Linked DNA regions of Rattus norvegicus. The protein of the gene in region 1 interacts with the protein of each later gene in a pairwise test. Links are inferred from orthologs where the notes say so. Each region holds a gene or a part of one and is shown on either strand. Other genes may lie near its edges. The genes, in order: Rin1 and Rras2.

What was found.
Region 2: the proteins of Rin1 (region 1) and Rras2 interact in binary tests that used the Homo sapiens proteins (3 or more experiments, as listed by UniProt). The link is inferred for Rattus norvegicus from reciprocal best matches to the Homo sapiens genes RIN1 and RRAS2.

What each region holds. Positions count from the first base shown.
Region 1 is NC_086019.1:211,783,384-211,787,940, forward strand, and holds the start of Rin1 (ras and Rab interactor 1), read left to right. Parts: upstream 1-1,723; 5' UTR 1,724-1,859; coding exon 1,860-2,014; intron 2,015-2,158; coding exon 2,159-2,339; intron 2,340-2,438; coding exon 2,439-2,553; intron 2,554-2,642; coding exon 2,643-2,715; intron 2,716-2,825; coding exon 2,826-2,917; intron 2,918-3,053; coding exon 3,054-3,794; intron 3,795-4,042; coding exon 4,043-4,348; intron 4,349-4,557. UniProt on the Homo sapiens protein: Ras effector protein, which may serve as an inhibitory modulator of neuronal plasticity in aversive memory formation. Can affect Ras signaling at different levels. First, by competing with RAF1 protein for binding to activated Ras.
Region 2 is NC_086019.1:177,734,509-177,738,786, reverse strand, and holds the start of Rras2 (ras-related protein R-Ras2), read left to right. Parts: upstream 1-1,235; 5' UTR 1,236-1,498; coding exon 1,499-1,606; intron 1,607-4,278. UniProt on the Homo sapiens protein: GTP-binding protein with GTPase activity, involved in the regulation of MAPK signaling pathway and thereby controlling multiple cellular processes. Regulates craniofacial development.

The DNA.
Region 1 (4,557 bases):
AGAAGAGGGGCAGCTGCTGGGCTGGCCTCCAAGCCGAGACACTTTGGGGCTTGGTGTAGAAGATTTTTATACTTCATACAACTTGACTCAGAGAGGCTTTTATCCTGGTCTGTGGGGGGCAGTATCAACAAGCTATAATGGACTCTAAGGGACCCTTTCTTCTCTCCACCCAGGCCAGGGCAGCAGTGTCCCCTCAGAAGAGAAAAGCAGATGGTAAGAACCGCAGACACAGGCTTGTCAGAATTGGTAGCCTGATCTGACTTTGAGGGTTTTGTGGGAGTTTGAGGAATAGAATCCAGGTTGGAGAAGCTCTTGGCTGAGGGAGCAAGAACATGGAGAGGTGGAGGTGTAGCTCAGTGGTAGTGCTCTCGCCTAGCATGGGCAGGAACCCAGTCCCAGGCTGCACACCACAAGAAGGTAAAAGTGCCTGGAGCCCCCAGGCAGGGTGGAGCAGAGAGAGCAGTAAGAAGAGACCCTTATGGATGAAGGGAGTAAGGCACTTCCCTCAGTGCCTTCAGGAAGTGGTGGTTGTCATTTTCTTTCAACGTCCTTCTACCCTTCTAGGACCCTGACCCTGCATTTACACTCGGAGGGTCCTTGGGGCAGCTGGCACCGCACACAGGATTAACGTTTCTCTGCAAAGGCAGGGGGTTACTTACTGCTGGACTCCTCTGCTCTCCTTGGGATCTGTATAACCAACCGGCCCTGACGCTGACCTGGCCAAGCAAGACCGTTGTCTCCATCCCTGAGCAGCCCACCCCTCCCCAAAGAGTAACTTCTCAGTGTCCCCCACAAGAAGACAGGCCTCATCCAGAGTCAAAGCAGCAACCCTCCTGACTAAACCCTGGTCCTTGGCCACTGAGTCATGAGCCAGGCCCCGCTGCAGGAGGGACTCCTGCCAGAGACATGTTGGGTCTTGCCCATCCTAACTGCCACTGGGGAGTTGGCTTCCCAGGCTTTCTCAGGGCCATTCCTGGTGTCTGCCTCTCAGATCCCAAGGACTGGAATAAAATTGGACCTGGATATGACTGCTGTGTGGTTGTTGTATCTTACAAGGGAATCAAGGCTTTTGTGGGGAGCACCTAAGACAGACTTCTGGGGTCCCTACAGTTTGAGACATTAGTTCTTAGAGAAAAGCCTGAGGAAGGAAGTTGGGACCAGGGCAGGCAAACAGTCGAAGCACGTGGCCTCGGGTGGGGAAGGGGCTTCTGCACATTTCTGGAGGTCAGGTCATGTCTGCACCTGCCCCAAACACTTGGCAAATTGGCAAGGCGGGCTAGCTAGCAGGGTCTGTGTGTGGGAGACAGCTAGCAGCAGCACCATGTGCTGTCGACCTCACAGCCACACGCCCCCTCTGCTTAGCAGTGAGTGTCAGAACCACCCCCAGAACCTCAGTTAAGCAAAGAGCTTAGTTTCCATGGAGACACAGCATCCTTTCTCCATAGCAACCTGAAATCACAAAACCCAAGTTAGATTCAGGAATGAGTCATCTGCAACCAGTAGGGGGTGCTCTCCCACAAGGCTGACCCCGCCTTCAAGGCTGGAACAGATGAGCCAGTGACCACAGACTTCTTAAGGTGACCCAGGGGTGCGGCTTGGGCCTGTGGGAACTTGGTTGGCCGTGTTTAACCCCTCCCTATCCCACTGCATAGTGTGAGGAGGCTACAGGAAGTGCTGTGTGGAGGTGCTCCTCCCACAGCGGGGGCCCTGATAGACTCTAGTGTGGAAGCCTCTGCCATTCAAGACTGGGCCAAGAGCAAAAGAAGTGGACACTGGCTACATGGAGTGGACATACAAGAGTTAACTGGCGGGGTGTGACCGGGCGAACCGCCTTCAGGAAGTGTTACTCACCGCCAGGAATGTGCACGCCTGTGCCTTGGGGGTTGGATTCTCTTCCTGAGTCCCAGGAGAAGCTGAAGGAGCTCCCAGCCATGGAAGACCCTGGTGAGACCGAAGCACACCCTCTGGGAGCCACCAGCCTGAACTTTGTACCTGGGTACCAACAGGAAGAAAAGTTAGTAAAGTCGGGAGATCAGCCAGGTGCAGGGGGTGAGGGCAGTTATAGGAAGATCTGGCAAGGACAGGAGAGATGGGAAGCCCCAAATGGGAAGAGGTGTTCACCCAAGACCCCTACTCAAGTCTGGGTGTCTGCCCCCAGGCCATCTCCAGACCCACTGTATGACACACCTGATGCCAGAGGGGTTCAGGCAGGCGGGTCCCAACAACCAGCACGCACAGTGAGCTTGCGGGAGCGGCTGCTGATCACCCGGCCTGTGTGGTTACAGCTGCGGGCCAACGCTGCAGCCGCACTGCACGTGCTGAGGACAGAGCCTCCGGGGGTGAGTCTCTCCCGTTCCTAAAGGTCTAGCCGGACAAGACTGGGAGGGAAAGGGCCTGGACGTGGAGATCCTGAGCCTCCTAATCTTGATCACTCGCAGACCTTCCTGGTGCGGAAATCTAACACTCGCCAGTGCCAGACTCTATGTGTGCGGCTGCCAGAAGCTAGTGGCCCCTCTTTTGTCTCCAGCCACTATCTCCAAGAGAGTCCTGGCGGTGAGGAGGGTGGCCTAGAGGGAAGGGGCTGGAAGACAGGCAGGGGAGGGAGGTTCCCAGAGAACGGCCTCACTCCCAATGTCTCTCAGGCATCTCTTTGGAGGGCTCAGAGCTCACATTCCCGGACCTGGTCCAGCTCATCTGTGCATACTGTCATACCAGGTGAGCCTGCCAGCAGGGCACCTGGTGACCCCTGGGCCTGCCTCCAGGGACTGCCCACCCTCTGCATCTGAGCACCACTCTCTCTTGACTGCACTTTGCTCTGACCTTAGGGACATTCTTCTCCTCCCTCTCCGACTCCCCAGAGCCATTCATCAGGCAGCCACCCACAAAGAGCTGGAGGCCATCTCCCATCTGGGCATGGGTAAGGGTCCCCTGCAGCCTGTTACACAGATGGACACATAGAAGCCAAATGGGGGGAAGAAAGAACAACCAAGATTTTTCTTTGTGGGTACTCTCCAGAGCCAGCTCTGAGGTCCCCATTGGTTTCTGATTGCTAGAGTTCTGGAGTTCCTCTCTCAACACCAAGAACCAACAGAGACCTTCAGAAGCTCCGCAGATACCCCGGCTGAAGGCTCGCTCCCCTCAAGAGCTGGATCAGGGCACTGGTGCAGCCCTCTGCTTCTTCAACCCCCTCTTCCCCGGGGATCTGGGCCCCACCAAACGTGAGAAATTCAAGAGGAGTTTCAAAGTGCGTGTATCCACAGAGACCTCCAGCCCTCTGTCTCCACCTGCTGTGCCGCCTCCTCCAGTCCCCGTTCTGCCAGGGACATCTTCCAGCCAAACGGAAAGACTGCCCCCTCGACAGCTGCTGCAGAGGGAGAGCTCAGTGGGATACCGTGTGCCAGGAAGTGCTTCTGGTCCTAGTCTTCCTCCCCTACCTTCACTTCAGGAGGTGGACTGCTGCTCCCCCAGCAGCTCAGAGGAGGAGGGTTCTTCAGGAAGCCCTACAACCTCCCCACGCCTAAGCCGCCCAAGGCACCGGCGGCCTCTGCTTCGGTCCATGAGTTCTGCTTTCTGCTCTCTGCTGGCACCAGAGAGGCAGGTGGGCCGGGCAGCTACAATGCTAATGCACAACCGATACACAGCTGTGGGTCAGCTAGTGCAGGACCTATTGACCCAGGTTCGTGTTGGTCCTGAGTCCCGGGAGTTGCAGGGCATCCGACAGGCCCTGAGTCGGGCACGGGCCATGCTGAGTGCAGAGCTGGGCCCTGAGAAACTGCTACCACCAGAGCGGCTGGGTAAGGCCGAGCCCTGGCCTGCACCGGTTCATGTCCCTGGCTCTCCATCCTCCCCTGTCTCCCTCTCTCCTTGACTTTGGTACCTAATGACTGCTGCTTACCCTGCACCCCACCCCCACCCCTTCTCACTACTGGTGCAGGGAATTCCATCTTCTCCTCCTCACCCTTCTCCCTATCTCCTGTCTTGGCGAGGGACTCCTGCTTTTCCAGGCTTCTTTCCCCTGACAGCAACAACTCTCTTCTTGCAGAATTGGTCCTGGAGAAATCCCTGCATCGCTCTGTTCTCAAGCCTCTTCGACCCATTCTAGCTGCCCGCCTGCGGCGCCGACTTTCCACAGACGGTTCCCTTGGCCGCCTAGCTGAGGGCTTCCGCCTGGCCCGGACCCAGGGGCCTGGAGCCTTCGGGTCCCACCTGAACCTTTCTTCCCCAGTGGAGATAGAACCAGTGCGTCAGAAGCTGCTGCAGCTCCTTCGTGCCTACTCGCCTAGTGCCCAGATCAAGTGGCTCCTGCAGGCCTGCAAGTTGCTATACACAGCCCTGAAAACCCAGGCAGGTATGACCCCCTTACCCCAACCACTTCCCCCAGCTCCACTCTTTCAAAGTAGAGGCTGTGCACTACCCACTTCCACAGCAAGCCGGTTCCAGAACCCCAGAGCTGCAAGCAGCATAGAAGGATCCAATCCTCTATTCCAGGAACTCTAGAGAACATTGTCTTTCTTCCCTGTAACTTTCCCTGAGGTTGCTATGTTGGTCCTGGTCTGT
Region 2 (4,278 bases), about 34 Mb from region 1:
ATCATCATGCCATTAGCAAAGCAGGCAGGATTTGAACCAGTCTACCCTCTGAGACCACAACCTCAATCTTACCCTGCCTCTACAGAGAGATATCCCTACCACATTCAACTAACACACAATGCGTTCTATTTATATCTGCTAGCGTGTAAGCTCCCCTCAGCACATTCAAAACCACACAACAGAATGTGTCCCTTTGTCATCTCTGGCTTCTGCATAGCCCCTCATATCTGGTTTTCTTTTCTCTCTTTCATTCTTCCTTTCTTTTCAGCCCAGACCTCCCTGTGTGTGTAGCCCTGGCCTGGAACTCATTATGTAGATCAGGCTGGCCTCGAACTCTTTGAGCTCACAGAGATCTACCTGCTCCTGCTTCTAGAATACTGGGGCTAAAGGCATGCACTACCATGTATAGCTTAGCTTGGTTTTCTTTCCCTGGAATACTTTTCTTCCAATCACTTATCTGTTTACAAGATTATTCCTTCGGTCTTTTGGAAAACCCTCTCTGACTGGCCAGCTCCGGGGTAAGTGCACCTTGGACCTCAGTGCTGAGCAGCTGTTGTCCTTATCATTATGTCTCACAAGGTGCCTATTGTCCTGGCTGCCTCCTCCTCTGGACTCTAAGGGCAAGGGCTTGATCGTGTGTGTAGAAGCTGTGTTAGCAACGAAACACTCTCCTGGTAGGAAACATGTCACTAACCTGCCAATTTCTCACGACCCTCAGACTCAATTACCTCACAGTTTTTCCACACATAGACATACAAACAGATGCTGCACCCCACATCTGTCCACATGCACTGTAGCCCCATGCAAACTCAATCACTATCCACCTAACTCTCGCACTGCCACTAGCCTATGATACATTCAGGTAATGCTACAGGTCTCATTTCCTCAATGGCTGCTTTATACTTTCTTTCTTTTTTTTTTTTTTTTTAAATACAGTCACCATCTGCATTCCGAAAACAGGGTACAGAGTTGAGTGAATATGACAACAGTTCTATTTTTCATTCACGCCGTCACAGGCTGTTTCTTTCATGAACACGATCCCTGACTTATGCAGTTACTGTCACCGCCGTCCATTTTCCCGTTGTCTTCCTCCCGGAGCTCTAAGGGCAGGTCTGCAGGGTCTGCTGCCTAGGGCGCTCCAGAGTCTCCGCCTGGGCGGGCGAGGCCTAGCCCCGCCCCCTCATGCATATGTAGTACCCCAGCCCGGCGGCCCGGCCCCCAGACGGCCATTTGTAGCGGTGCTAGAGGCTGCGTTCGGCTGCGCTGCAGAGCCGCGAAGAGGATCGCGCTCCCTGGCCGCTGCGTCCTCTGCCCTGGAGCCTTCTCGGCTCTCCTGCGTCTCGGGCAACTCCCAACCAGTCCCGGGGATAGCGCTCCGCGGCCCTCCAGGCCACTCGCGGGCCCCGCGCGCTCTACCGCCTGTAACCCAGCCGGCCGCACTCGTCCCCGGAGCCGGGCCTAGGGCGCGCGGCGGCCGGGCTGGGCTCGGGGCGTCCCGATGGCCGCGGCCGGCTGGCGCGACGGCTCCGGCCAGGAGAAGTACCGGCTCGTGGTGGTCGGCGGTGGCGGCGTGGGCAAGTCGGCGCTCACCATCCAGTTCATCCAGGTGCTTGGAGACGGCCTGCGGGGTGGCGGCGGCGGGGTGGCGCTACCTGTGGCCGCGGCGACCCCGCCCGGGGCGCGCGGGTGCGGGGCTCCGGCGCGTGCGGTGCGCGCGGGTGCGGTTTGCGCGGGGCCAGGGCGCGCGGCTGCGAGGGCAAGAATAGTGTGGAGTAGGCGCTGCGCTCCTGCCCTGCGGCCACGGCGCCGCGCTGCTGCCCGCCAGGCGCCCGGCGCGGCGTCCGAGGACTCCGGCTTCTCAGGAATGTGGCCCAGAGGGCGGAGCTGGCCGGGTGGGAAGCGCAGTTCCACCTTATCGCTGCGGTCAGGGCGGGAGCCGGCGGGTTGCAGCCGCGCCGCGGTGCCGGGTTTCCTGCCCCGAGGGCCGGAGTGGGGACCTCGCGCTTGCCTTGGTGGCAGCGATGGCCCGGACTACTTGGAGGCTTCGCACCACCGGCTCCCAATAGTGTTTTCTCTTTGTGTGTGTTTGAGCTTCTCTTACTAGTAGTCTGTTAGGTGGTATGTCCGGGTGGGAGTGTTTGATCGTGCCCTAGGGAAATAATGGCTTCGAGGAAGTTAAAAATGTGCTTTGATAGGGGCGAGACCATTTCCTTGGAATTCCCGGTGCCTGCCTGCTTCGCGCTTAGGTGAAGTTTGGGATGAGCCCCACTAGGAGGGGACGAATATGAGTTTTGTATTGCAGCCCCCACCCCCACCCCCTCCCGGTTGCTGGAGGAGGAAAGTCGGGTTGTGTCAAAGAAAAGGGAGGTAAAATGTCTTTAGACTTTATTCTTGGTTAAGACGCCCGATTGATTTTTCTTTCTCTTTTCTTTTTGATTTTTAAAAAGCAAAGGCAGCTCTCCTTGCTTTTGTCACCCTGAAAGGCGTGGCATATGTTGGAGAGAGCGCAGGTACCCTAAGTAACAAAGGTATTTTTTTACTGTATTAAAGGGGACGGGTGGCGAAGTGGTTTTTGTTTGTTTCACCCATTTGTTGAATGGATAGACTTAAAATAGCTTATTTTGTTTCGCTATAACTGTGGTGTTTATAGTGTTAAGACGCACAGTTCCATAACCTAACTGATAGTCAGTTTCACACCAAGTGAATGAACAGTAATTGCTCCTGTAATATTTCATGGAATAAAAAAGTGCTGCTCAACCTTTGTATTCGGAGAGGATGTTCATGTCATGAGCGTTGACAGCATGTTCGGTGGTGGTGGTGGTGGTGGTGGTGGCTGCGGTGGTGGGGGTGTGGGTTTAAGTTTACCAGACTTCAGCCTGGCTTTTGGCAGTTGTTATTTGCTTGGGGCCAAAAGAGACTTTTAAGTGGCTGACAGCAAAACAAGTCACAGATAACTCTCCCTGATGGCTGGTTTTGGAGGGAACCAAGAAGACAGAGGACAGTCCTGGGTTCCAGAACTGGTGGATAATATTTGTTTAGGAGATTTAAATCAGAAACATTTAAGTTTTTGAAGGAAGATCATCCAAACATGATTGCTTCCATCAGGTAAGGTATTTGAGAAATAGTTTTAAAAATCCTTACACTCCCAGCAATGACTGTCTTCCTCAAGACCTTCTAGAATTCATTTGTTGAATACTTTGTGAGTAGTCTGGTATCTAGAGGCTCTAAAATGAGGTCAAGTAAAGACATGCGTGGCAATGATTTATACCGATAAGGACTTTTGAATCCTACAGACTTGAACTGTGCCTTTTGTTTATTGGCTATGAAAACAACCACCCAAATAGCCTTTCTGAACCTCCAATTTTCTTGTTAGTGAAATAGCTCTCAGTACATGTCCTTTATAACTTTTACATTATGAGAAAGATTTTAGCGTTGCGTTGAGCCTGTGTGCTGTGTTGATAATGTAGTCACTTCAGTATGTGTGTGAGATGAGACCTTTAGATGGAAAGGGAATTCTGATTTGAAGGAGTCAGTGTGGGAAGGCTCTAAACAAGCTCTGTGGGGCTGGCAGGTGTAGCGCAGCGTAGAGTGGTTTGCCTGCTGTGTGGGAAGCTCTGCATTGGAGCCCTAGTACCAAAAAAGAGCACTGTGTCTTATGGGGGTTGTGTGAACGTGGGGAGTCACAGGCCAGATTGGAAAGAGGAGGCCAGTGTGTGGGGAGCTGGGAGTAGGAGAGGCGTGTGTGACTTGGGGTTTTGGGGCTGGTGAAACAGGAACATAGCTCTGGGGTTGACTTGGTGAGGAGGAAGGAGGCACAGCACCTGTGTGGAGCCCATTCCCCTGAGCATGATGTTGGGTAAGTTACTGAACCTGTCTGTGCTATGGCTTTTAGTCATCTGGAAGCTAGGATAATATAGTTATACAGCTGTGGACATCAAATGGATTAGCCTCAAGGTCTTGGGACAAAGGTGTGGGTCTACAAAGGCCACCTCCATTACTCTGGTAATCTTAGATTATGTAACTAAAGCCACAGTCTATCAGCTACATCTGCACGCATATATAAACATTCAACACCGGACGTGAAAACATACATGCCACACTCACAATCTCCCCTCCCCATAAAAGGGACGTGTGCATTTAGATCACATTTCAGTTTCTGTTCTCCCTCCCAACCCTGACCATGCTCCACCACCTCACCAGGCGCTAGGGATCAAACCCAGGACTTTGGCAGGGTAACCTTGGCATACCCCTTTAAAACTATCTTGCTAAGGTTCTTAG